Drosophila melanogaster: one gene and its partners. The protein of the gene in region 1 purifies or fractionates together with the protein of each later gene. This does not show direct contact. Each region holds a gene or a part of one and is shown on either strand. Other genes may lie near its edges. The genes, in order: raptor, mTor, Lst8 and unk.

What was found.
Region 2: the proteins of raptor (region 1) and mTor purify together in Drosophila melanogaster (affinity purification with western blotting; 3 studies listed by BioGRID, with this or other methods). This does not show direct contact.
Region 3: the proteins of raptor (region 1) and Lst8 purify together in Drosophila melanogaster (affinity purification with western blotting; 2 studies listed by BioGRID, with this or other methods). This does not show direct contact.
Region 4: the proteins of raptor (region 1) and unk purify together in Drosophila melanogaster (affinity purification with western blotting; 2 studies listed by BioGRID, with this or other methods). This does not show direct contact.

The regions. Positions count from the first base shown.
Region 1 is NC_004354.4:6,086,898-6,092,186, reverse strand, and holds the start of raptor (raptor), read left to right. Parts: upstream 1-1,985; 5' UTR 1,986-2,480; coding exon 2,481-3,915; intron 3,916-3,973; coding exon 3,974-5,289. Other genes in the region: Mipp2 (multiple inositol polyphosphate phosphatase 2), read left to right, coding at 893-1,070, 1,345-1,778.
Region 2 is NT_033779.5:13,002,292-13,007,758, forward strand, and holds the start of mTor (mechanistic target of rapamycin), read left to right. Parts: upstream 1-2,188; 5' UTR 2,189-2,494; coding exon 2,495-2,720; intron 2,721-2,775; coding exon 2,776-2,996; intron 2,997-3,139; coding exon 3,140-3,706; intron 3,707-4,058; coding exon 4,059-4,795; intron 4,796-4,854; coding exon 4,855-5,467. Other genes in the region: Vha68-1 (vacuolar H[+] ATPase 68kD subunit 1), read right to left, coding at 1-246, 332-1,029, 1,293-1,368. UniProt on the Drosophila melanogaster protein: Promotes cell and tissue growth, maintains tissue homeostatis and controls responses to environmental stress and aging. Regulates growth during animal development by coupling growth factor signaling to nutrient availability. Central regulators of autophagy.
Region 3 is NC_004354.4:9,603,654-9,607,544, forward strand, and holds Lst8 (Lst8), read right to left. Parts: upstream 2,317-3,891; 5' UTR 2,223-2,316; coding exon 2,109-2,222; intron 2,053-2,108; coding exon 1,225-2,052; 3' UTR 501-1,224; downstream 1-500. Other genes in the region: Gga (Golgi-localized, gamma-adaptin ear containing, ARF binding protein), read left to right, coding at 1-71, 148-360; LysRS (Lysyl-tRNA synthetase), read right to left, coding at 2,820-2,900, 2,967-3,891. UniProt on the Drosophila melanogaster protein: Subunit of TORC1 and TORC2, which regulate cell growth and survival in response to nutrient and hormonal signals. Essential for TORC2-mediated regulation of cell growth and phosphorylation of Akt1.
Region 4 is NT_033777.3:23,151,550-23,159,759, forward strand, and holds unk (unkempt), read right to left. Parts: upstream 6,314-8,210; 5' UTR 6,295-6,313; coding exon 6,230-6,294; intron 6,162-6,229; coding exon 5,952-6,161; intron 4,945-5,951; coding exon 4,525-4,944; intron 4,463-4,524; coding exon 4,260-4,462; intron 4,001-4,259; coding exon 3,891-4,000; intron 3,692-3,890; coding exon 3,583-3,691; intron 3,422-3,582; coding exon 3,296-3,421; intron 3,226-3,295; coding exon 2,645-3,225; intron 2,589-2,644; coding exon 2,391-2,588; 3' UTR 543-2,390; downstream 1-542. Other genes in the region: VhaAC39-2 (vacuolar H[+] ATPase AC39 subunit 2), read right to left, coding at 6,571-6,937, 7,005-7,690. UniProt on the Drosophila melanogaster protein: Essential for late larval/early pupal development.

The DNA of each region.
Region 1 (5,289 bases):
GTAGCGTGTGTTCCTACCACAAATCAAAGTTAGGCACTTCCAATGTTCCGGCTCCTGCTCCCATACATAAATTCCCAAATGGACAACTACTCCCAGCTACCGGTTACCTGGAACTTTAGTTTTGGCGCAAAACTTTTGGCATGTGCGTTTCAGCTATTCCTTTTTTCACTATTGACATTTGCGGATTGTGGCTCCTTGGGCGCCATATGGCAGCCAAAAAGCAACGAGGAGAACCTCGATAAGCACAAATTTTAACCGAAACTCTTAGGAACAAAAACTGAGTGACCACACGAAACGAATTCAGGGGTGTTAATTATTTATTGCAATTTTAAGTTGTGTGTAAGTTTCTCGTTTTATTCTTGGACAGGATATTCAAAATGCTTCCCTTGCCAACGCTTATTCCTTTTGCGTGTTTGGCGTGCGACTAAACCATTTTTTAATCGCTTAGTTTGCCGGGCCGGTTAAAACAGAGCTTTTTGAGGCAGAAAGCTCGATTGGGCGAAGTGAACACTTGTTGAGTGGCAATGCGCTGATTTAGGCACCTGCAAATCTAACTAAATTTATTATAAAATAGTGTTAATAAAGCTTCCTGAAATGAGTAATCAACCAAGCACTTACAACTGATGCCATCGAAGATGCTATTTAAAAATACCGCCAACTGGCGGTGGAAACGGGTTTTTTTTGGCTGCCCCATGTGTTAGGGCTGCCAGCTGAGCTGATAGCCTTGCCACCTTGCGCGACTAGCACACTTGTCAATTTGTTTTTCTTTCGTGTTTATTATTTCCTAGATTTCTTTTGAGCTGGCATTTCGTTCTGTTTTTCACGTTTTAACCCCGTTTTTCGGTAAACCTCGTTTCTAATCTCGTGACAAGTTTTTCCACCGCCCGGAAAGATGCTAAGCCAATTTTACTGCTTGTTTTTGTTGCTCCTCCACTTCTTCGTGGGCGTGACGTTGTCTGAAGAGGGGGAGTGCCGCCGCCTTAATCGCGCAGATATCGAGGGCAGACTGTCCACAAAGACGCCCTACAGAGCGATCGCAAATTATGACGAAACGCCACCGAAATACGCCGGTTTGTATTTTTGTTGTTTTCTGTGTAACGCACCCACAGTAGGCACCCGCTTAGAAATACAAACATGTGTTGTGCCATGTGACAGTTAACAGCGCTCGCTTAATACAGTGAATTCATAATCATGAAAGCATATGGATTCTTTATTGATCATAAAACAGAGAATCGCTTTAGATTTGTTATTATACTATTACTAGTTTATTATTACCGATGCCTACTGCTAGCAAATGGCAATGGAACAGCTGATTTTTCTCTTTTAACCGTTTCACCCGACAAGGCTGCCATCCGACGCGAATTTGGACCATCATCCGACACGGAACTAGAAATCCTAGCGAATCCGTTATCCTTCAGGCGCAAAATCGACTATCAGAGATAAAGAAACGCATTCTGGATCAGACGAAGCCGCCGATCTGCACCGCTGAATTGGAAAAGCTGCGCCAATGGCACTGGATGCATCTGAATGCCACTGAAGATGAGAAATTACTGGTGGCCGAGGGTGAGGATGAGCTGATTGAGCTGGCGGAACGGATGCAGCGGCGATTTCCGGATCTACTTCCGGAGTTGTACAATCCGGAGTGGTACTACTTCAAGTATACTGCGACCCAGAGAACGCTGAAAAGTGCGGAAAGCTTCGCTACGGGTTTGTTCGGCCGTCATCGCATCCATACTGTACGATATCCGCCGCCTTTGCACGAGGATCCTGTTTTGCGGGTGAGCAGTCCTTTAGTTTTTTCTGTCAATGTAACCAAAACAAACTTTTGAATTACGCGCTACAAATGAGCTTGTAATGATCTGGCAACGCCATTCATTACAGCTAGGCCATTTCGCTGTTAGTTTATTATCGATATCAATGTTGTAAACCGCTTGCCAGCGTGCAATCGAAAAAATCATCGATTTTTGTTCCAGCTCTATTTTCTGCGCAATTCTTTTCGTATAATATAATTCGATTAAACATAAATAAATAAACCCAAGCGAAAGTAAATAAACCTGTTAATGCGCACCATCTTCCGTCGGAGATCGCTCGCTATAGTTGTACGGTTTTTATTTTGTCCCGGCATCGACCTAATCAGCCCAGGCGGCGTGTTTTCCCCGAGTTCTTTTTACCCGTTTTCGGGAAATGGTCCGCGATCCGTAGGCGGAAAACGTGGAGAAGAGGAACGTGGAAAGAAAAGCAGAAAAGCGCGGAGCGGAGCTGAGGAGGCGCTGGCGGTGGTGGAGGTGCGGAAAGTGCGAAAAGTGTTTGGGGTTATGTGCTAGAGTCCCCTCGGGGGGATTTTTAGCTGATTGAATCCGCGACCGAGACGTAATCGCTCCGGGAAATCGCTCGCATTGAGCTGCACCCTCTCCTCGGCAAACGGAAAAAGAAAAAAAGCAATACAGCGAGAAACGAGAGAAACAAAAAGCACGCAGAACATGACAAGTGCCGTTCGCGCTAAGTCCGCCGCTGCCGCAGTCGGCGTCGCAGTCGACGAAAGCAGCGGCAGCAGCAACGGCAGCGTCGCGGATCAAGAGGTGGCCTCCAGCAAGGAGGCCGTCCTGAGCGTCCTAATCCGCAAGAGATACGAGAAATATGTATTCGCCCCGTGGGACGATCCGATAATCTTGATAATGGAGCAACTGGAGCACATCGAGCACTGTCGATCCGCCGCCTTGGGGAACCAGGTGGCCATCGGCCGGGACCCATCTCAGGACGACTCTCTGAACGACCTGGGTAAGGTGATTAGCAACATGAGGCAGGACCAATCACTGGTACCAATCGTGAAGCACATCGAGCAAATATCCGACATTCAGGCCTCCAACGGCCAGGAACTGGCCTCCCTCGGTTCTTTGAGGGAGCTAATCCGGACTATCAGAAAGGAATGGCCCCGGGACGACTCTATCAAACTGCGGTTGAAGGAAATACAGATCCTGGGCATGCCGCCCGCTCGGAGCTTATGCTTCGGCGAGCGTATCCGCGACGACAGGTGCCCGCTCTCCCTGCAGACTAAAAGGCACAAGGAGCGCATCCAGGCCATGATGTACGAGAGACAGCCGTGGCGCATCCGCGAGCGCATGAAGACGGCAAGTGTGGCCCTGGTTCTGTGCCTCAACATCGGCGTGGATCCGCCGGACGTGGTCAAGATCCAACCCTGCTCACGGCTAGAGTGCTGGATAGATCCCAGCTCGGTGTCCCCGCCAAAGGCCATGGAACTCATTGGAAGCAACCTGCAGATGCAGTACGAACGCTGGCAGCCAAGGGCCCGGTACAAGAAGTGCAACGATCCCACCGTGGATGACGTTAAGAAGCTCTGCACCTCCCTACGCCGGAACGCCAAGGGGGAGCGCATACTCTTCCACTACAACGGACACGGAGTGCCCAAGCCCACAGCCAACGGGGAGATCTGGGTGTTCAACAAGACCTTCACGCAGTACATCCCCCTGAGCATATTCGAGCTTATCACTTGGATGTCAGCGCCCTCCATCTACGTGTATGACTGCTCCAACGCCGGGATCATCATCAATTCGTTTCAGCCATACGCTAAACAGCACGAGGAAGAACTAGGGAAGGCGCTGGCCGCCGCCCAGCAGAGGGGTGGTGTCCAACAGTTAGTGGGCGGCTCTGGTGGTGCCGCCAACGTAGCCGCCAACCAGGTGCAGTTAACCAACCAGATGGTCAGTTACAAGAACTGTATACACCTGGCTGCCTGTGCTGCAAACGAGATTCTTCCGATGAATGCACAGCTGCCGGCGGATCTTTTCACCAGCTGTCTGACAACACCCATTAACATAGCGCTCAAGTGGTACGCCATGCAAGAAAAGCTGGGCATGGTACCGCGTATTCAGAGCGAACTGATCGACAAGATTCCAGGTAAGGTTATACCTTTACTCACCCAGGGAATGCTGTTAACCATTAAATTCTATCGCAGGCAAGGTCAACGACCGGCGCACTATGATGGGTGAGCTTAACTGGATCTTCACCGCCATTACGGACACGATAGCATGGAACACACTTCCTCGCGAGCTCTTTCAGCGCCTGTTTCGCCAGGATCTGCTGGTGGCCAGCTTGTTCCGCAATTTCCTGTTGGCCGAGCGCATTCTGCGAAGCCACGACTGCACACCAGTTTCCCTGCCTGCCCTGCCGCCTTGTTATCGCCATCCGATGTGGAAGGCCTGGGATCTGGTGGTAGATTTGGCTCTACAGCAGCTGCCGGAGATTCTCGATCACAATGCGCCGTACCGCCAGCTGCCATTCTTCGAGCACCAGCTCACGGCCTTCCAGGTTTGGCTGGACAGCGAATCGGAGTCGAGAACGCCACCGGAACAGCTGCCCATTGTGCTGCAGGTCCTACTGTCGCAGGTGCACCGTCTGAGGGCCTTGGAGCTGCTGGCTCGCTTTCTGGATCTTGGTCCGTGGGCCGTTAATCTCGCCCTGGGCGTGGGCATCTTTCCATACGTGCTTAAACTGCTGCAGAGTTCTACGCGCGAACTGCGACCCGTTTTGGTGTTCATTTGGGCCAAGATCCTGGCCGTGGATCCCAGCTGCCAGGTGGATCTGGTCAAGGAATACAAGTACTTCCTCTCCGTGCTGCAGGACACCTCCGTTTCCAAGGAGCACCGTACACTGTCCGCCTTTGTATTGTCCTCCATAGTGCACAACTTCCTGCTGGGACAGACGAGCGCGCTTCAAGGTCCCCTACTGTCTATTTGCCTTGAGCAGTTGAACGACGGAAGTTGGCTGCTGCGCCAGTGGCTAGCCATCTGTCTGGGCATGCTGTGGCAGAACTTTGAGAAGGCGCGTTGGTCGGGAGCACGCGACCTGGCGCACGAGAAGCTGTACGTACTGCTGCGGGACTCGATACCGGAAGTGAGAGCCGCTGCCGTCTTCGCCTTAGGCACATTTATTAGCTCCGTGACGGATCGTAGCGAGGAACAGGCCAATAATATCGATCGCATCATTGCCATTACCATGCTCGAAACCGTCGGCGAGGATATGTCGCCGCTGGTCCGCATGGAGCTGGCCGCCGCCCTGCAATGGATGGTGGTGCTCTTCGAGTCACAGTTCGTGGCAGTATATCTAACTGAACACATGCGCGGTCACGTCTCCGCCGCCTCGTTCGTGATGTGCCCCGATCCCCGGGATCTGACGTCTTCCACGCACAGCCTGGAGCGTCATGTGACCATTCGCAGGGGAGCCAGCTCCAGCTCCATATCCAACATGGGTGGTGCGTCAATAAGCTCGGGA
Region 2 (5,467 bases), on another chromosome or scaffold:
GTTGTAGCCCATATCACGGAAGTATTCAGACAGAGTGATTCCAGTGTAGATGGAGGCCTCACGAGCAGCCACCGGCATGTTGGAGGTGTTGGCCACCAGAGCAGTTCGCTTCATAATGGACTCGGTGACGCCATCTATCTCGCAGGTCAGTTCGGGAAAGTCACGCAGTACCTCAGACATCTCGTTACCGCGCTCGCCGCAACCGACGTAGATGATCACATCAGAGTTGGAGTACTTGGACAGGGCCTACGGGTGGTTGAAGTGCAGATTGGAAGGGATGGTCATTTAATGAGATGTAAGATGTGGATTAAGTGAATAATTTGCAACTTGCCTGCGAAATGACGGTCTTGCCGCAGCCAAAGGCACCGGGGATGGCAGTGGTGCCGCCCTGTACGCAGGGGAAGAGCGAGTCAAGGACGCGTTGGCCCGTGAAGAGCGGATGGTTGGCTGGCAGCTTCTCTGTGACGGGACGTGGCTGCCGCACTGGCCAGACCTGCAACATGGTGTGCTTGGTTATCTCGCCGTCGAACTCCGTCTCCAGGACAATGTCCTCCAGGTTGTAGTTGCCCGCGGGGGCAATGTATCGAACGGTTCCCTTAGCCCTGGGTGCCACAATCATGCGCTGCTTCACCAGCGTGTTCTCGTGTACCACTCCATACAGATCTCCTCCGGTGATGTGGGATCCCACCCGCACATTCAGCGGATTAAATTCCCACATCTCCGAGCGCGACAAAGCAGTTGTGTTGACACCTTTGGGTATATAGATGGAGTTGGTCATGACACCAATGTCCCGCAAAGGACGTTGGATGCCGTCGAAGATGCTGCCCATAATGCCGGGTCCAAGTTCCACGGAAAGAGGTTTGCCGGTACGCAGCACCGGATCGCCGACAGTCACGCCAGAGGTCTCCTCGTACACCTGGATGGTGGCCATGTCGCCCTCCAGACGGATGATCTCGCCCACCAGCTCGTAGTAGCCGACGCGGACCAACTCGTACATAGCTGATCCAGACATGGCCTCAGCGGTGACCACTGAAGTGGATTTAAAGTTGTTGAAGGAGGAAAAGCAGGAGAAATATGATTAGCAAGGAGTGGAGAGAGCAGCATAATGAGGAAGATTATGCGGAACAGGAGGAGGGGGAAGAAAGCATACAGAAATATGAAAAGGAGAAGGATAATAAGGAAGGATAAAAAGGAAGATGTGGAGGAGTATAATTAAGAACAGAAGAAAGGCAGGATTAAGGATTACAGAACTTGGGGGTCAGCGCATGAAGGACGCTGGTGACGTCGCTTACCTGGTCCGGATACCGCGTAGACACGGCCATATTCCGACTCGCGCTCCTCGTCTTTGAATTTCCTCAAGTTGGACATGGTCGCGGTTGCTGCTCTTCTTCTTCTGCTTCGGTAACGGTCAAATCGTTCGTTGGCTGTGGGAAAAAGTAACCGTTTTTCTTATAAACAAAAACACGCATTTTCCATGCCCCCGAATGAGAGAGCGTTTTCCGCGAGGAAACGCATAGGTGGCGCTGATGTGCAGCAGCAGCCCCCAGTGAAAAGCTTCACACCCCCGCAGCACAGCATCGATTTTCCAATACAATTTTCACACATGCCACCAACGGCAAGGTGAATTTTCCACCTTTTACCCATCACAAAAGCAATTTTCACACTTTCTTTTCATTCAACACCTTGTGGTCAGTGGTTTTGTGGCGTAAAAACTGCTTTTTCAGCTGCTCTAAAATTAAATAAGCTCACATTTGTTTCAACAGCTCTTATGAAAATTCTCTTGCTTTTTTGATTTCACTCTAGTATTGATCTATCGGTTATCGTCGAGGGCTCCAGGTTCTCTATAGAGATGGGCTCACATCAAACTCACGCACGTCACGATACATTAATAGTCGGATTCCACTAGCACATTCCGCAGTTAAATCTTGAAATACTTGTTGGTAATTATTAAAAATTTAACATAAGCTTGCATTTTTGTGCTATTTTCCAAATTCTTCAATGCAACTTGTTCACTCCAGTAATATAAATGTTTTGTACCACAACTTTAAGCCAATTTCTTTTTAATTGCTTATAATAAAGAACAAATTTATTAATTACTTTATTATTTTTATTTAATATGTTCTCTAACATTTTAAATGCTTATAAGTCGCCGCCAAGTACAGAAGTATCAGCAAGAAAATATCGATTGTAAATTGATCGAATTCTGTTTTACATCACTAATCGGCAGCGGCTGCAATAAATTTCCGTAAAAACCGAAGTAATCCGCAATTAAAGAAAGCAAAGGACCTGCATCCGTGTGAGATCGTTCGGCACCGGTGCCGGCACATGAAATCCTATCGAGTGACCAGTGGAACAGTGCGTACAGCGCCCCGGGGCAACTGAAAAGATAACCTCCAAAGTCCGTAGACAGCAGGCAGATGCACCTGCTCCACCCTTTCCCCTCCCAAATGCAAGTGAAAATCGCGTTTAAATAGTGAATAAACCCTGCCCAGCCATGTCGACGACGTCGGTGGTGCAGCAGTTCGTCAACGGGCTTAAGTCCCGCAACCGGAATGTACAGAACAAGGCAACCCAGGATCTGCTCTTCTATGTGAAGACCGAGCTACGCGAAATGTCCCAGGAGGAGCTGGCCCAATTTTTCGACGAGTTCGACCATCACATTTTCACGATGGTGAATGCGACAGATATCAACGAGAAAAAAGGCGGTGCCCTGGCCATGAGTGAGTTCCTGGCTCCCCGGCAGTGCTTGAGAGGATTTAACGTCTTCCCTTTCAGAGTGCCTGATTAACTGCGAGGGCAGTCTTACTGCCAGGAAGGGCATTTCGCCCTATCTCAACCGCCTGCGCGATCTTCTGCTAATCAACGATGTGTCCGTCATGGAGATTGCCGCCCGCTCCCTGGTCAAATTGGCCAACATGCCCACCTCCAAGGGCGCCGATTCCTTCGACTTTGATATTAAGAAGGCTTTTGAGGTGCTCAGAGGCGAGAGACAAGAGGTGAATTATAAGGGAAACCTACAAATTAAGCTTTTAAGTCTGATTTTGAGATGAAGATGGAAAAACTTTATAATGAAAATGAAAATAGTAGTTGTAAGCATGGCTAGAGTTATCCAAATTCATTTATATATTATTTTTTTCAGTACCGCCGCCATTCAGCCGTCTTTATCCTCCGTGAGCTGGCTATCGCCTTGCCCACATACTTCTACCAGCACATCCTGACCTTCTTCGAGGTTATCTTTAACGCCATCTTCGATCCCAAACCTGCTATACGAGAGTCAGCTGGCGAGGCTTTGAGGGCGGCTTTGATTGTCACCGCTCAGCGAGAGAGCACCAAGCAGTCCAGTGAACCACAGTGGTACAGAATCTGCTATGACGAGGCGAATGGAAGCTTCAATGCAGACTTGGGCTCTAGCAAGGATCAGAAAGGCGTGACCCGAGACGATCGCATTCACGGTGGCCTCGTCGTCTTCAACGAGCTCTTTCGCTGTGCCAATGCCACCTGGGAGCGGCGCTACACGTCTCTGAAGACGCTGTTCCCCAAGACCCAACACAATAAGTTCCTGGAGGCCAGCAGTTCGTCGAGTATGGGTTCCCAGCTGAATACTCTAGTGCCGCGGCTAAAGGTGCCCTTCATTGACAAGCTCGGCAGCACCCAAACGCATTTGGGTGAGGGAGAGCATCACAAAGGAGTTGCCAAGTTCGCGAGCGTGAGTCTAACGATCAAATACCTCCACACACGAATGTATTTGTCATTTTCATTTATTTACCTTTTGGTTTACGTAGTATGTACTTTACATGTATCTAAAAACCAAGCGATGCCTGACGGGAGGAAATCAGCTGACCTAATTATAGTTTAAAAATTGTGTAAAATGTAGCAGTAGAGTGTGATTCGTTACCAGTAGTAATTGTGGGGCGGCAATCATTTAGACAAGCATGTTTGTATTAAAATAGTATATTTTCCATTTGTTCATTACAAAAAAGATATTTTAATGTTTGTTAATTTAAAATACAAACTATTTAGTTATGTTTAAGCAAGTAACTAATAATATCGACATCCAGCAGCACAACGTACTGGAGTCCGCATATGCTCAGGAGATCCTTCAGGAGCACTACACCTCCATTTGCGACAATGTTTTGGAGCAGCGAACTTCGAAGTCTCCGTATGTACAGCAGGCACTCCTTCAAATACTTCCTCGATTGGCTGCCTTTAACCGCGCGGTGTTTGTGGAAAAATACCTGCAGACATGCGTGTCGCATTTAATGCAGATCCTGCGAGGCAAGGAGAAGGATCGCACGGTGGCGTACATAACCATTGGTTACATGGCTGTAGCGGTGCAGAGTGCGATCGAAGTTCATTTATCCAGTATAATGACTAGCGTGAAGGTCGCCTTGCCGTCAAAGGATTTGACCAGCAAACGAAAGGTACCAGTGGATCCTGCGGTCTTTGCCTGCATAACGCTTCTTGCTCATGCCGTTAAGTCGGAGATCGCCGACGATGTTAAGGATATCCTTGAGCAGATGTTCTACACGGGTCTCTCGCCAGCTCTGACTGTTTGCCTGAGGGAACTCTCCGAGAATGTGCCGCAGCTTAAGTCGGCCATTACAGAAGGATTGATCGGAATCCTATCCCAGGTGCTGATGAACAAGGCGGCAATTTTACCATACACTGCTTTGCCAACGATCGCCATCGATGGCTCGCTAATGCAGAATGGTGACGGAGCAACCACAGTGCTGGCACTCAAAACGCTGGGTACCTTCAACTTTGAGGAGCAAAACATGCTGGACTTTGTGCAACGGTAATTTAATTTAATTTACTATATTTTAGTTATATTACAAGGTTTGATTTCTTTTTCAGATGTGCTGACTACTTCATCGTTCACGAGCAGCAGGAGATTCGTCTGGAGGCAGTGCAAACATGCACACGACTCCTTAAACTGGCAGTGCAATCCTCTGAAAGTATGGAGAACTCCAAGACCCTCAGCGACACCGTTTCCCACGTGATTGAGCGCCTGCTTATGGTAGCCATTACTGATATGGACTGTAATGTGCGAATACGAATTCTACGTTCGCTGGACGAGACCTTTGATGGGAAGCTTGCTCAGCCAGAGTCTCTAAATTCGCTATTTATTACGCTGCACGATGAAATCTTTGAGATCCGGGAGCTGGCAATGGTTACCATTGGAAGATTGTCGTCCATAAACCCGGCTTATGTGATGCCCAAGCTAAGAACCACCATGATCGAATTGATCACGGATCTAAAGTACTCGGGAATGAGTCGAAACAAGGAGCAGAGCGCAAAGATGCTTGACCATTTGGTGATAAGCACGCCCAGGCTAATATCCTCTTACATGAATCCGATCCTCAAAGCCTTAGTGCCCAAGTTGCATGAGCCGGAATCGAATCCAGGAGTTATTTTAAATGTGCTTCGCACAATTGGTGATTTAGCAGAGGTTAATGGAGGCTCCGAT
Region 3 (3,891 bases), 3.5 Mb from region 1:
TTGTGATATCGGCTCAGAACAAGAGTCGCCAGCCAGTGCGCGACTTTCAGTTCGAGGCCAGCGTGAAGAAGGTGAGCGAATCAGAGCTGGAGAAGATTACTGGTCATCGAGGTGACCGGACTAACAAGCTATCATTCTATTCCGCAGCCCTGCAAGGTGCGCCTGTTGACGCCGACGGACAGCCAAATGCCGCCGCACAAGCCCTTCCGCCCGGCCACGCCCATCAACCAGGTGATGCTCCTGCTAAATCCGACAGGCAAGGCCGTGGACGTAACATGCATTGTGGGCTACAAGCTGGGCGACGATCCGGATCCCATCAAGGAATCGATTGTGGCCAAAGGCATTGACTATGTGGACTAAAATACCCCGACATATAAGTATCACCCGCTCCCGTCCACTGAAAGCGCAGGAGGAAAATGAAAAGAACGAAAGACAGTCAATTTTCCCGCATCTATGTTGTGCTCCCCATTATCTTAAAGATACTTTTGGTTTTTCAATTTCTGTATTGTATGTGTATGTACGCTGATAAGATTTTTATTCAAATTGCATTTTGCATACAAACGATTTAGTCGTAATATAATTATGTATCAAAGGTTTATAAATTATGAAAAAGTCGCTACAAAAGCCAAGCGCTCATTTTCAGAGGTATTCTCATTAATCTGTTCAATTGTTGTGTGGATGTTGTTTTAGTTGATGCTTCAGTTCAGTTCAGTTGTCGTGTTGCCCATATATGGATTCATTGCTACTCTCCCCACTGTTTCAAAAAATGCCAAATTATTTGTTCCTGGCGGATTGTCTCGCTGGGTTGGCGGTTTTGCGGATGATTGTACATCTGAGATATTTGTTGATTTAACTGGCTTAAGATAGATCGTAATTAAGTTCGGAAGTGAATTAATGAGCACTGCTGGCAGTTTTTCAAACATTAAGGATATCAATTTTTTTGAGACTATGAATTACCATTTTATATATATGCATCTAATTGGGAAACGTAAGCTGAACTAAAACATTGAGTCTAATTAAGAGTAGAAACTAAAACCGCGATGCTTAACAAACCATTACAATTGCCATTCATTTTGTGTGGACTTAAGCCAGCTAATTGGTAGAATGACTAAAACTAGTAGGCCAATCTTTGGGGAAAGCCAAATGAAAATCCGCCACCAGGAGCCACTTACAAAGTGCCTAGACTCTAGCCGCTAGCTACTACTACTACTACTACAACTACTGCTATTTGCCCACGATCTCGTCCTTGAAGGACAGGGCAGTGATGGCCTTGGTGTGACCAGTATAATCCCTAATCGAACTCTTTGTCTGCAGCTTCCACAGTCGTGCAATGCCGTCGGATGAGGCTGTGAACAGCCATTTAGAATCGGCGCTAAAGGCGGCATCCCACACCCAATAGTTCTCGATGCACAGCTCGCGCCATTTGCTAAAGTCATCCGTCTTCCAAATGCACACAGTGCCATCGCCGGATGTCGTCAGCAGTAGCCTGGAATCGGGACTGAATTTGCAGCGCAGTATGTAGCGAGAGTGGGCCGGAATTTTCCTGTTCGGCCGCAGCGTGCTCATCTTCTGATCCTGACTGGTCAGCGACCAGATGTAGCAGTTGCCCTTGTTATTGGCCGCCGCCAAGTATCTGCCATCCGGCGAGATGGCAACATCCTGAATGGATGCGTCCACCTCGGGCACGATGCGTTCGTGCCGCTCCGACTTGACGTCCCACAGAAAGACGCTGCCATTTTGTGAGCCCATGGCGATCTCCACCTGGTTGGGATGCAAACAGGCGGCATTTACCGGCGCCTCACAATCAAAGATCCGGGAACAGTGTGGCGGTGCGGCAATCATGTCCCAGATCCGCACGTGATGATCCTCGCCGGCGGTGAACATCCAATTGCCGTCCTCTTGGAAGCCAAGTCGCGTCACATTCTTTTGCACGCCATCGAAATTGATCACCGGTGCGGTGCAGTTGGACTCCAGGTCGTACAGCCGGATGCACTGGTATCCGCACGCCGCCAGTCGCGTCTTATCCGGTGTCCTGTCTAGCGCATTCACTTGCTGCAAGTTAAAGCATGTTCGTTAACCGGAAAATGCACGAATCGGTTTATTCCTACCGAGGTCTCCACGAATCTCATCGTCTTAATGCAGTTGCCCGTGTGCGCCTGCCACACCTTAATGGTGTGGTCATAACCACCGGTGGCCAGGATCAGCTGCTGTTGGTCCCCCATCCTGTGATTGCACAGATTAATTGACAATTTCCGCGTTTTTTTGCCCCAATGTTTTCATTTCACCAGACCTATCGGTCCATTGGTCCTCGATACGCGCCTATCGCGCTTATCGATAAGTGGCGCGGTGCTGGTAAGCGCGAAAATATATTCTTATTAGAATAAAACCTAAAGCGCAGCAACAAAATCGTTTTCAAAAAACACTATTAATTGATATCAGTATAATTTTAGGTTTTATTACAAAAATGCGTACTGATTTACATATCAAGTCTTTCTTTTATCCGCATAAATAATCATTAGATTAGATATAACACAAAAATTATGTCAAATCAAAAAAATTTTAACTGAAAAATTTTGATAATTTACGGTACCTGGTTTATATAATCGAGATATTTTCCATATAAAGTATTATAGAATTATCTTAATAATATTTATTATCCCAAAACTCGGACATTAGCAGAAAATAAAAAAAAGAAACTGACGCAGCTTTGGTTATTGGGAAAAATGTTTATTGGTTGAATAACTTAGCAACTGGGATTAGTCCGGGACCAGCGTAACGTACAAGGATTGGGTCTGAGTGGAGTGAGCGGCGTTGGCCATCTACTGCTGTGCGGTGGGAGCAGTTTCCGCTGCCGTGCGGTTGGCATCCTCCGGTTTCATGGCGGGGAACAGCAGAACCTCCTACAAAAAAAAAGAAGCCTCATTTAGCAACGCTTGCAATAAGTTAAAGACCAAGTGTAGACCCACCTTGATGTTGTTGGAGTCCGTGAGGAACATGGCCAGGCGATCGATGCCCATGCCAAAACCACCGGTGGGCGGCAGTCCGTACTCCAGGGACGTGCAGAAGTTCTCGTCGACCAGCTGGGCCTCATCATCGCCGGCCGCCTTGTCGCTGGCCTGCTGCTCGAAACGCTCGCGCTGCACAACCGGATCGTTCAACTCGGTATACGCGTTGCAAATCTCCTTCTTGGCCACAAACAGTTCGAAGCGCTCCGTCAGGCCGGGAATACTGCGATGGTACTTGGCCAGCGGCGACATGATCTGCGGATGCTCACAGATGAACGTTGGATTCACGCAAAACTCCTCGATGAATTCGCCGACGAGCTTGTCCAGCAGGCGGGCAGTGGTGCGCGGAGCTGGGCACTCGACCTGGTGCTTAGCGCACAGCTGAGACAGGAACTGATTCGTCTCTGGCGAATTGAAGGTGTCGGCCGCGGGGAACTTCACCTGCAGCTTCTCTTCCAGCGTTTTGATCATGGATACGCGCTTAAAGGGCGGCGTAAAGTCAAGTTCTTGCTCAGGTCCCTCTGGACCCTCCGGATGATAGATGACCTTGTAGGAGCCACGGATCGCTTTCACCATTCCCGAGACCAACTGCTCGGTGATATCCATAATGTCAGCGTAGTCGGCATACGCCATGTAGAACTCGCACGTGGTGAATTCAGGATTGTGGGTGAGGTCGATGCCCTCGTTGCGGAACTGCCGTCCGATCTCGTACACACGATCGAGTCCACCCACCACCAGCATCTTGTGATACAGCTCCGGAGCAATGCGCATGAACAGATCCATCTTGAGGTCATTGTGATGCGTCACGAAGGGCTTGGCAGTGGCTCCACCGGCGATCATGTTCATCATGGGCGTCTCGATCTCCAGGAAACCCAGACGATCCAGG
Region 4 (8,210 bases), on another chromosome or scaffold:
GCGTTTTTTTTTTTGTTCTTTTTTTGTTTTTTATATATTTCTGGATCACATATTCAAGTAGTTTCAAAATCACATAAAAATCACTCTTACAGTAGCGTATACAAAATACATGTGTCATCTATAAATATATATGTATGTAACGTACATATACTTTTCGATCTGGTTTCTGTTTGATTCTTCACAGTTGAGATGGCGTGAAATGGATTTCTTGACATGTTGTAAAATTGCTTTGCATTGGTTTGTTTTGGAATGGGGTTGAAAAAACGCGTAGTTCGATAGACATCCCATGTACATCTCGTGGAGATTCATAAAGTAAATTAGCAAATCTTTCAAACTGTGTCTCCGGTGATGAGAGTCAGTGATATTCTGAGAGAGGTATGCATTCAGTTTTCAGTTTAGTTTGGTAATACACACAATAGATTTGCGACTCAACAGCTCCATTATAAAACCAATTTTCTCATTGTTTGTTCTCGTGATTTTTAGTTTTTTTGTGTACACTTGTATCATAAACTATTAAAGCATTTATAAGTTAACACACAATTGTTTATTGTTATATTTATTAATTATTTGTATTTCTTGCTGATTTGGCTTCTACAAAACATAGTACAAACACACACAGAGATAAGAGCCTTTGCGCTGCCTTTCCTAGTTAGCTTTGTAATAATATAATTCAGTTTTTCATTTGTATATATATATTCATAGTGTTGCTTTTGTTTCAAATAAATGCCTATGTTGATTTCATATTCATATTCAATTCATTCCCAGAACAGTTTCATTTTGATTACATCTTTATCAATTCAACTCAACTAGCTAACAACACGTTTCAGTTTCATTCAACATTGTCCAATTGATTACGTTTGATAATTTTAATTCGCAGAAAAATACAATGGTTTTTGAAGACGGTTTTACATTAACTCTGGTTAACATTTTCATTAAACTCTGTTCATTTCGCTGTATCGAGTTACTTTTATTGTTTATGCTTTCAACATCACACTCATCGAATCTGCGTTCAAATTTCCCATAAATATATATCTGTTCATATTCGTTCTTGTACAATCAGCCAAATGCTGGATTTAATATGACTTAAATACTACGTTTTGACATTGACGATTCATTTTATGCTTTTACTAATTTGGAAGCGTCCAGTTGAGACTATGAAAGTAAAATGAAAATTGAAGTCATCTGCAAAGTAAGTACTTAAAGCACTATTCAAATCACAAAGTAACCTAATAGATTATATACGTAAGTTGATAATTTTGTGACTGGTTAATTGGCATTGGCTTACACGAGCTGCACCAAGGCCTAAACAAAAATCAAAGTGTTTTAATACATTCAACTTGGTTTTCAATAAGACAAAATGAAATGAACTTTCGATAAGGAAAAGCGTTGTCGCCTTTAGTTACTTCTCGTTTCAACGTCTATAATTACTTTTGTGCATTTGAAAAAGGAAAATAAAAGCTGAGTACTGACTAATATTGATTACCCGTCAGTTACATTGATTTTATGACCATTGTCTTGGCTTTTAGTTGTAGTTTGCATTCACAAGTTTGAAACACATACATAAAAAATACAGTTTGAAAATCGGCTTATATAAAATCACTGGTGGTATTTGTTTGTTTGTGGTTGTTTTCTGCTCTTCTATGCGACAATATATTGTTAAATTTGTTGGTTTCTATAAATTTGTTAATAGTCAATTGCTAAAAGTGTCTAGAAAAATTAATATATTATATATTTATATATCTTTCATTCAATTACATCTTGTAATTGTTTAGTTCTCATAATTTCTTATGTAATACTAGTGAAAAGTACAATATGACTGAAAGTGTAGCATATTTAAATACAAATATAGAGATACATATGTGGTTAAAAAAAAAATAAATGAGACATTGCAAATTCGTGCAGTAGATTAGAAAATATGTATGCCTAAACATTGAATATTAAACAAAATTAAAAGAGTTGGTTACATAAATCATAGTACAAAATCAATTTAAAATGTTTTTTCCTGTATTCGATTCGATATGAGAAAAAATAAACAAAAATAAAATTACATACTTATTCGTTTAGAGCAGCTAGCTAATTCAATTAATAGTTTGTGCCTAGTAATTACTAATATTCATGACGATAATTTGCATATTTTGAGTAGATTGAAAACATAAATTATATATTCCCTGCCACATGCACAATTAGTAGGCATGTGTCAAATCCTAACTGTTCAAAAGTTTCAACGTTTTGCTTAAGACTAAAGTTTGCTTTGTGAGTACCACATTGTCATGCTGTTCGCGGTCTTGATCCCCATGATCCATTCATATCCCATCGGAATCCCCTTTCCCATCCCTATCCGATTTTCAGCCAAAGGGCCACTTGTGGTCCTGTTGCTGATAAAACATGTTCTAGGTGTGGGTGGTTATTACCGGCACCTGACAGTAGGGACACTCGGTGACCGATTCAGCGCATGTATTGCAAATAGACAGGTGGTTGCACGGCTCCAGAGTAACCGTGCGATTGTTCTCCTCGCACTTCATGCACTTCTTGGCATTTTCTAAATATAATACTTTGTCGACCTCCTCCAAGTCGGTGCGCAGCTTGGACTAAAATGGTAGCAGGTTAAAACCCATGGAATTGGGAAATTAATTAAGCGACTAACCTGCAATTGCTTCAATTTCTGTATGGACAAGTCCCGAAGCTCTGCTGGCAAATTTAGCTGTATCTGTGCTAGGTCATAGCGCTCCTTCCACTCCTGCGCCTCCTGCTTGGCCTTGTCCCGATGGAGCTCCGCGATCTTTAGCTTGCATGCCATGTCCTCGAAACGTCCGTTCAACTTGTGAATTTGAGCATTCTTCGTGAGCAGCTCATTGGTGATGCGACCCAAGTCGCTGTTGTTTTGCGACTGCAGAGATTGAAGGCTAAACGCATTCTTGGCCGTATTGAGAGTGTTCTCGAACAGACTATTTCCCACCGAGCTGCTGTTGATGTCGTCGCGTATGGTATTCAATTCGGATATCCTTACCGAAGGACTAATCGACAAGCCATCGCCAAAGCCAGGCGATATGATGCGCGACGGAAAGAAGAGACTGCTATCGTTCTGGGTGGCCGAAAGGGAATTGCTGAGTTTGTTTGAGCCGCCATAGTTGAAGGCGTCCACGTTGAAGAGATTGGCATGGTTGGTGGGACTGTAGGTGAGCGAGCTGCTGGGAATGTTGACGGCAAAGCTACCTGAGTTAAAATCTGTGCAAATGGAATGGAGTATTAGCATTAGCAATTAGTTGGCACTCATAGGACGTTGATGACTACTTACCGTTAATTGAGTTACTTAGAGTCGTATTAGGAATGTTAATTGGCGCCGAGGAACGTGTTAATAAGCTAGTATTGGCCAGACTCGCCGACAATGAGTTCTCGCGCGGATCGTCCATTGAGCAAGCTGCTTGCAAAGAGTGAAGACAAAAAATTATTGAATTTCAGTTAGGCTAGGGGTCACGACATTTGCTATCTAAGCGCTGACATTCTTTGTCCACAACCAAAACGAAGAACTGATTTCTAGTGTATAACTTAGACGTACGCATGTCAGGACTCTGGGATACTCACAACGACTGTCCAGGGGTCGTGAGAAACTTAAAAATTTGCTGAAATTTGTTGTGTTTTCCAAAGCGTCTACCAACATTTTATTGGTGCTATTACCATCAATGTTCAACAACTAAGAGAACAAAACGAAAAGAAAAAAATCGAGGAGAGCAGGACACATGATTAAATGGCTTATCGAAAGTGTTAAGCAGTTAGTTGATGATGGTTAGCTGGATTAGAGCGGCAAACGATGTGTGGTAGTACGTTTAGGTTTAGGCGATGCAAATCGATGGCGTTATTTGGATGAGTGTTATTGCTTCGGTAATACGTACATTATCGACCCTTTGAAACGCATCCTGAGCTTTTAAATCAGGATAGGCATTGGAAATAAGCTCGTTTAGGTATACCGTGTGATCCCGCGTCTTCTCGTCAATTGAACATGCTTTATTTGGATTGGGAGTAGTTACATGGACAAGCAACACCGAGCGGCAAAGCAAACATTGATTGATGTACGTGTTTTCAAAGGATTTGAGTGATAGTTGGAAACAGATTTGCGGTTTGATGGATGAGGCGAGTAAAAGACAAACATTAAGTTAGAACTGTAATATCATAACTTGGCCCTAAACACATCCCTACAACAACTGGTTGTGGAGCACAACGCTGAGTCCTATATATTAGCTCATCGAATCCTCTATACTTACGTTCCACATGGGCAAAGGCGCAGAAGACGCTGCGCGGACAGTATCCGGCCTGCTGGACATCGTTGCACTTGGTCGACTTGTAGATCTCCGGGTGGAACTGCTGCTCGGTGCGTGTGTGGCAGTACTGGCAGTTATCGCCGGCCTCGCAGTTGCCCGGTTCTCCCCATTCCTCGCCGTGCTTGACATTGGGGCAAGGAGTGGACCTAAAACAATGGTATATCGCGGTTTAAAACTGACTTTAGGATGAATTCAGGGGAAATCTTACCTGTACTTGTATTTTCTGGGCGAGCGACGTTTGTCCTTGCTATTGTGGTACTGTGGACAAGCGTATCCTTGGCGGCACAGGCGCGGTGGGCGCTTGCAGGGCTCTGTCTTGTAATTGGCCAGCACGTAGTTGGTGTCCTGCCACTTGGGATCCTCGTTCATCAAATTGCGCTCCTTGTCCAGGGCATTCAAAGCATTAGTGCTGTCCAGTGTGCTCTCTGCGTTCTGCAGGGTCTCCAGCTCTTTGATGTCATAAACCGGTGGGCGCTGGTCCTGCATGCCGTGGGCGAAGGCGCAGTGTAGTCCATTCTTGACGCAGTATCCTCGGCTGTCGGTGTCGTGGACGCACATGCATGTCTTGTAGTAGCGCAGATGGTATCGCCTTTCGGTGTCGCCAGCAGTGCGGTGTAAGTAGGGGCATCTAAATGGGGAGAAAGGGAGTTTTAGTGACGTCAAAGCAGGCGACGAGGCTAAGTGAATGGACTGTATGATACCCATTAATTAAAAAGAACCGTAACAAAAAACAACAAAGTTGTACATTTACAGCAAAATCATCATTTTAATACATGTTTGAGGGTATTTCTTTAATAAGTAAAAGAAATTTCTCTTTCAAAACTAAAACCGCTTTCTTTCCACCTTCGTACCCTGTAAGGAGACTACAACGATAAATGGATAGAATGGAGGTCGGGGTCAGAGGTTGGACCTCGAGTCTGGGTCATAAAAACAGACATTGTTGTTGTCTCTCGCAAAGCGTAATTGCGTTTTACTTTTAGCCCGTTCTTACACTTCACAGAGCTTTTCTCCAAAGCTCGCCAGCCACAATAACTGTACATTTCGAAGCTGCCGGGGGAAAATCAAAATAAACGAAGAAGAAAACACGCAAAAGCGAAACGCAATAAAAACAATGACGCACACACTTGTAGCGATGCCCTACGTCTGTGCGTGTGTTTGTTTGTGCGTACCTGTGTGTATGCGAGCGTCTGTGCATGTATACATGCGACAAGAGAGCAACAACCACCACAAAACGGATGCTGATAAGAATTTGCTAGCCCACTAGAGCTGGAATCACTTTCACTTTTGCACGGTGGTGACCTCGCCTGCACACACATACACATGCACAGAGATACAGCAAGCAGCACGCCCACATACGCACTTACAATTTCACTTTTGGCTTTCCAGACAACGCCAGGCCCCTGCCACCGCCCCCACCACACCCCCCTGCACACAAACACACTATGGTTTTTGTTTGTAAACACGAAGACAAGAGATACACACACATCGCGAAGGAAGGAGAGCGCAAAGAGGAAACAAAAAAAATACAACGTCGTTCGCTATTGCTGTCTCATCCATCCTCCGCCACTGCAATCGTCCCGTCCAGCGTTTTCACGGGCCATCAGAAACTATGAATTTCACAACATTTCTACTCACTCGTCGCCCTCGGGACAAATCCCAGTGGTCTCGTCGTATTTGGTGCAATAGTTATCCGCACTGTAGTTGAAGGTGCCATCGCGTTTTCGCACTGGACGACGCCGACGCTGGTTTTGAAAATGCCAATTGAAACAGACGAAGGGGCGATGCTGGTTGCACTTGTGCTGTAAAAACGACTGGCACTGCTCCACGCGGAACTCCTTCAGGTAGCTGAAACGGTTGGCGGAAAGGTTGCACGTCAAATTAACCATCGTTTGCATTAGTTAGCATCTATTTACGTGTAGTGATTTGGTTTTTCCTGCTGCGAGGAAAGCAGCAGCTTGTTCGTTTCATTTGCCAACATCGTTGTTAGTGATGTGCAAAAAACATCGGTGCGTCGGGCATCCATGGCCTTAAGTCGATTGATATCGATAATTTTTGTCGGCATCGTCCATATCGATTGGTTAGCAAATACACACACCCCAGTTGATGGGTGGTTAGCCGGGACGCAAACGAAACAAATTTGGCGCCAAAATTAATGCGAAATTGTTATGCATGTGTTTTATTTATAACAACGCCTATATATTATAACACACATTTCAAAGGGAAAACATTTCGAAGAAGGAAAGCAAAAGCGTTTCTAGTCCAAGGGTATGGGAATGAAGGCGTTGATTCTGTCCGTCTGTCGCTGCGCTATGCATTCGCTAATCCAGACGATATTGCGTACCTCCAACTGTTTAAGTTTAATGAACGAGTAGAAGATCCCGAAATGGTACTGCTGCAGGAAGGTCTGCACATTCTTCTTGGCCTCCATCATGAGAAAGCGGTCCTCCAGCGTAATCATGCCGTCCGAGTCGCGCTCCAAATTGTCAAACATTTTGCCATAGCCATCGAACACATTGCAAACATCCCTTATTTTATCCGTATCATTTAAAGTGGACATGGAGGCCAAGGCTATTTTGGGCAGGTAGCCACAGGTGGGGAACATCTTTAGACGCTCCTTCGGTCTGAGTGTTGGAAGGTGGGCATTATGAGTATAATATGAAGAATTTCATAGCAACACAGATATCTTACATGATATCACTGCCAATAGCGTTCACAGCTATTGTAATGGTCCGACGATCCGCCTCGAAGGACAATAGATTGGTCATCACGTTGGCGGTATTGCCGCCCAGTTGGCTGCAATAGGCGTAGAATTTCTCCAAATAAGCACGATACAGATGGGCACGCACAATCTCCACGTCGAGGTAACGCAACGACTCCATGGGCAAATCGCGTGGCACAAACCGAGCGATGGGCGTGTCAATTAGAACGGCGTCGAAGAGCTCCGCAGAATTCGAGGCCACTTCGATGGCGCCCAGTTGATCGAATTCGCCCAGCGGATGACACATTCTTAGCAGACGCTTCATGGATCGGTGATTGTTTAGGCCAGCGACCAGAAGCGCCACATTATCGATCATGAACGGATATCGTATGAACTCCATAAAGGTGGTCAGCGGCTCCGTCGAATGACTGCGTATGTAGTAGTATTGCTGCAGCAGACGATCCCTAAGGCATCTTTCGATCACCTCAACGGACGGCGCTGATTGTTCGCCACCAAAGATGAGACCGTAATCCGTGCCCTGGATGCTGATCATTACGTCCTCGAGGGATTCACACTGGGTCAGATTTAGATAGTCCGAGTGCTTTAGCATGCCGTTCTTGAATCCGCGCGTTAGGGCCTCCAGGTAGCCATACTCCGTGTTGAATATCATCGACATTTTGACTTATTATTATTTTCGAGCTATCTATTAGTAGGAATTCACACGCCAGGCAACTTTTAAGTGAAAGCAGAAATTGATAGATGGAACATGCGGTGATAGGTATTTCTCGGATGAACTGATTCTGATATAAATACTAAGGATTCTAGATGCTAAAATAATATTTATTAAGCTACAAATATATTTATATATAATATTTAAATATTCGGTGGCGGTATCTACCGATGCACGCTAGATGGCGCTACCGATGGTGCAAGGCTGCCATTCGTTTATCCTTTTTGACAATATGGCAGCGCTCTAACGGTTTTTTAAATTTTAACTTTAAATTTGAAAAGATATTATTTGTTTGGTTTGTTCGTTTTAAAGTGCATCCAACTAGATTATTTTAGTTATAAGAAAATGCACCTAGTTAAAGCTTGCTATTTGAATTTCAGATAGCTATTTATCGGCCCATTCTAACGCAATTTCCGCACATGCGCCTGGAGGATGCTGTACGGAAATTACCTGTTGCTCTGGGCCA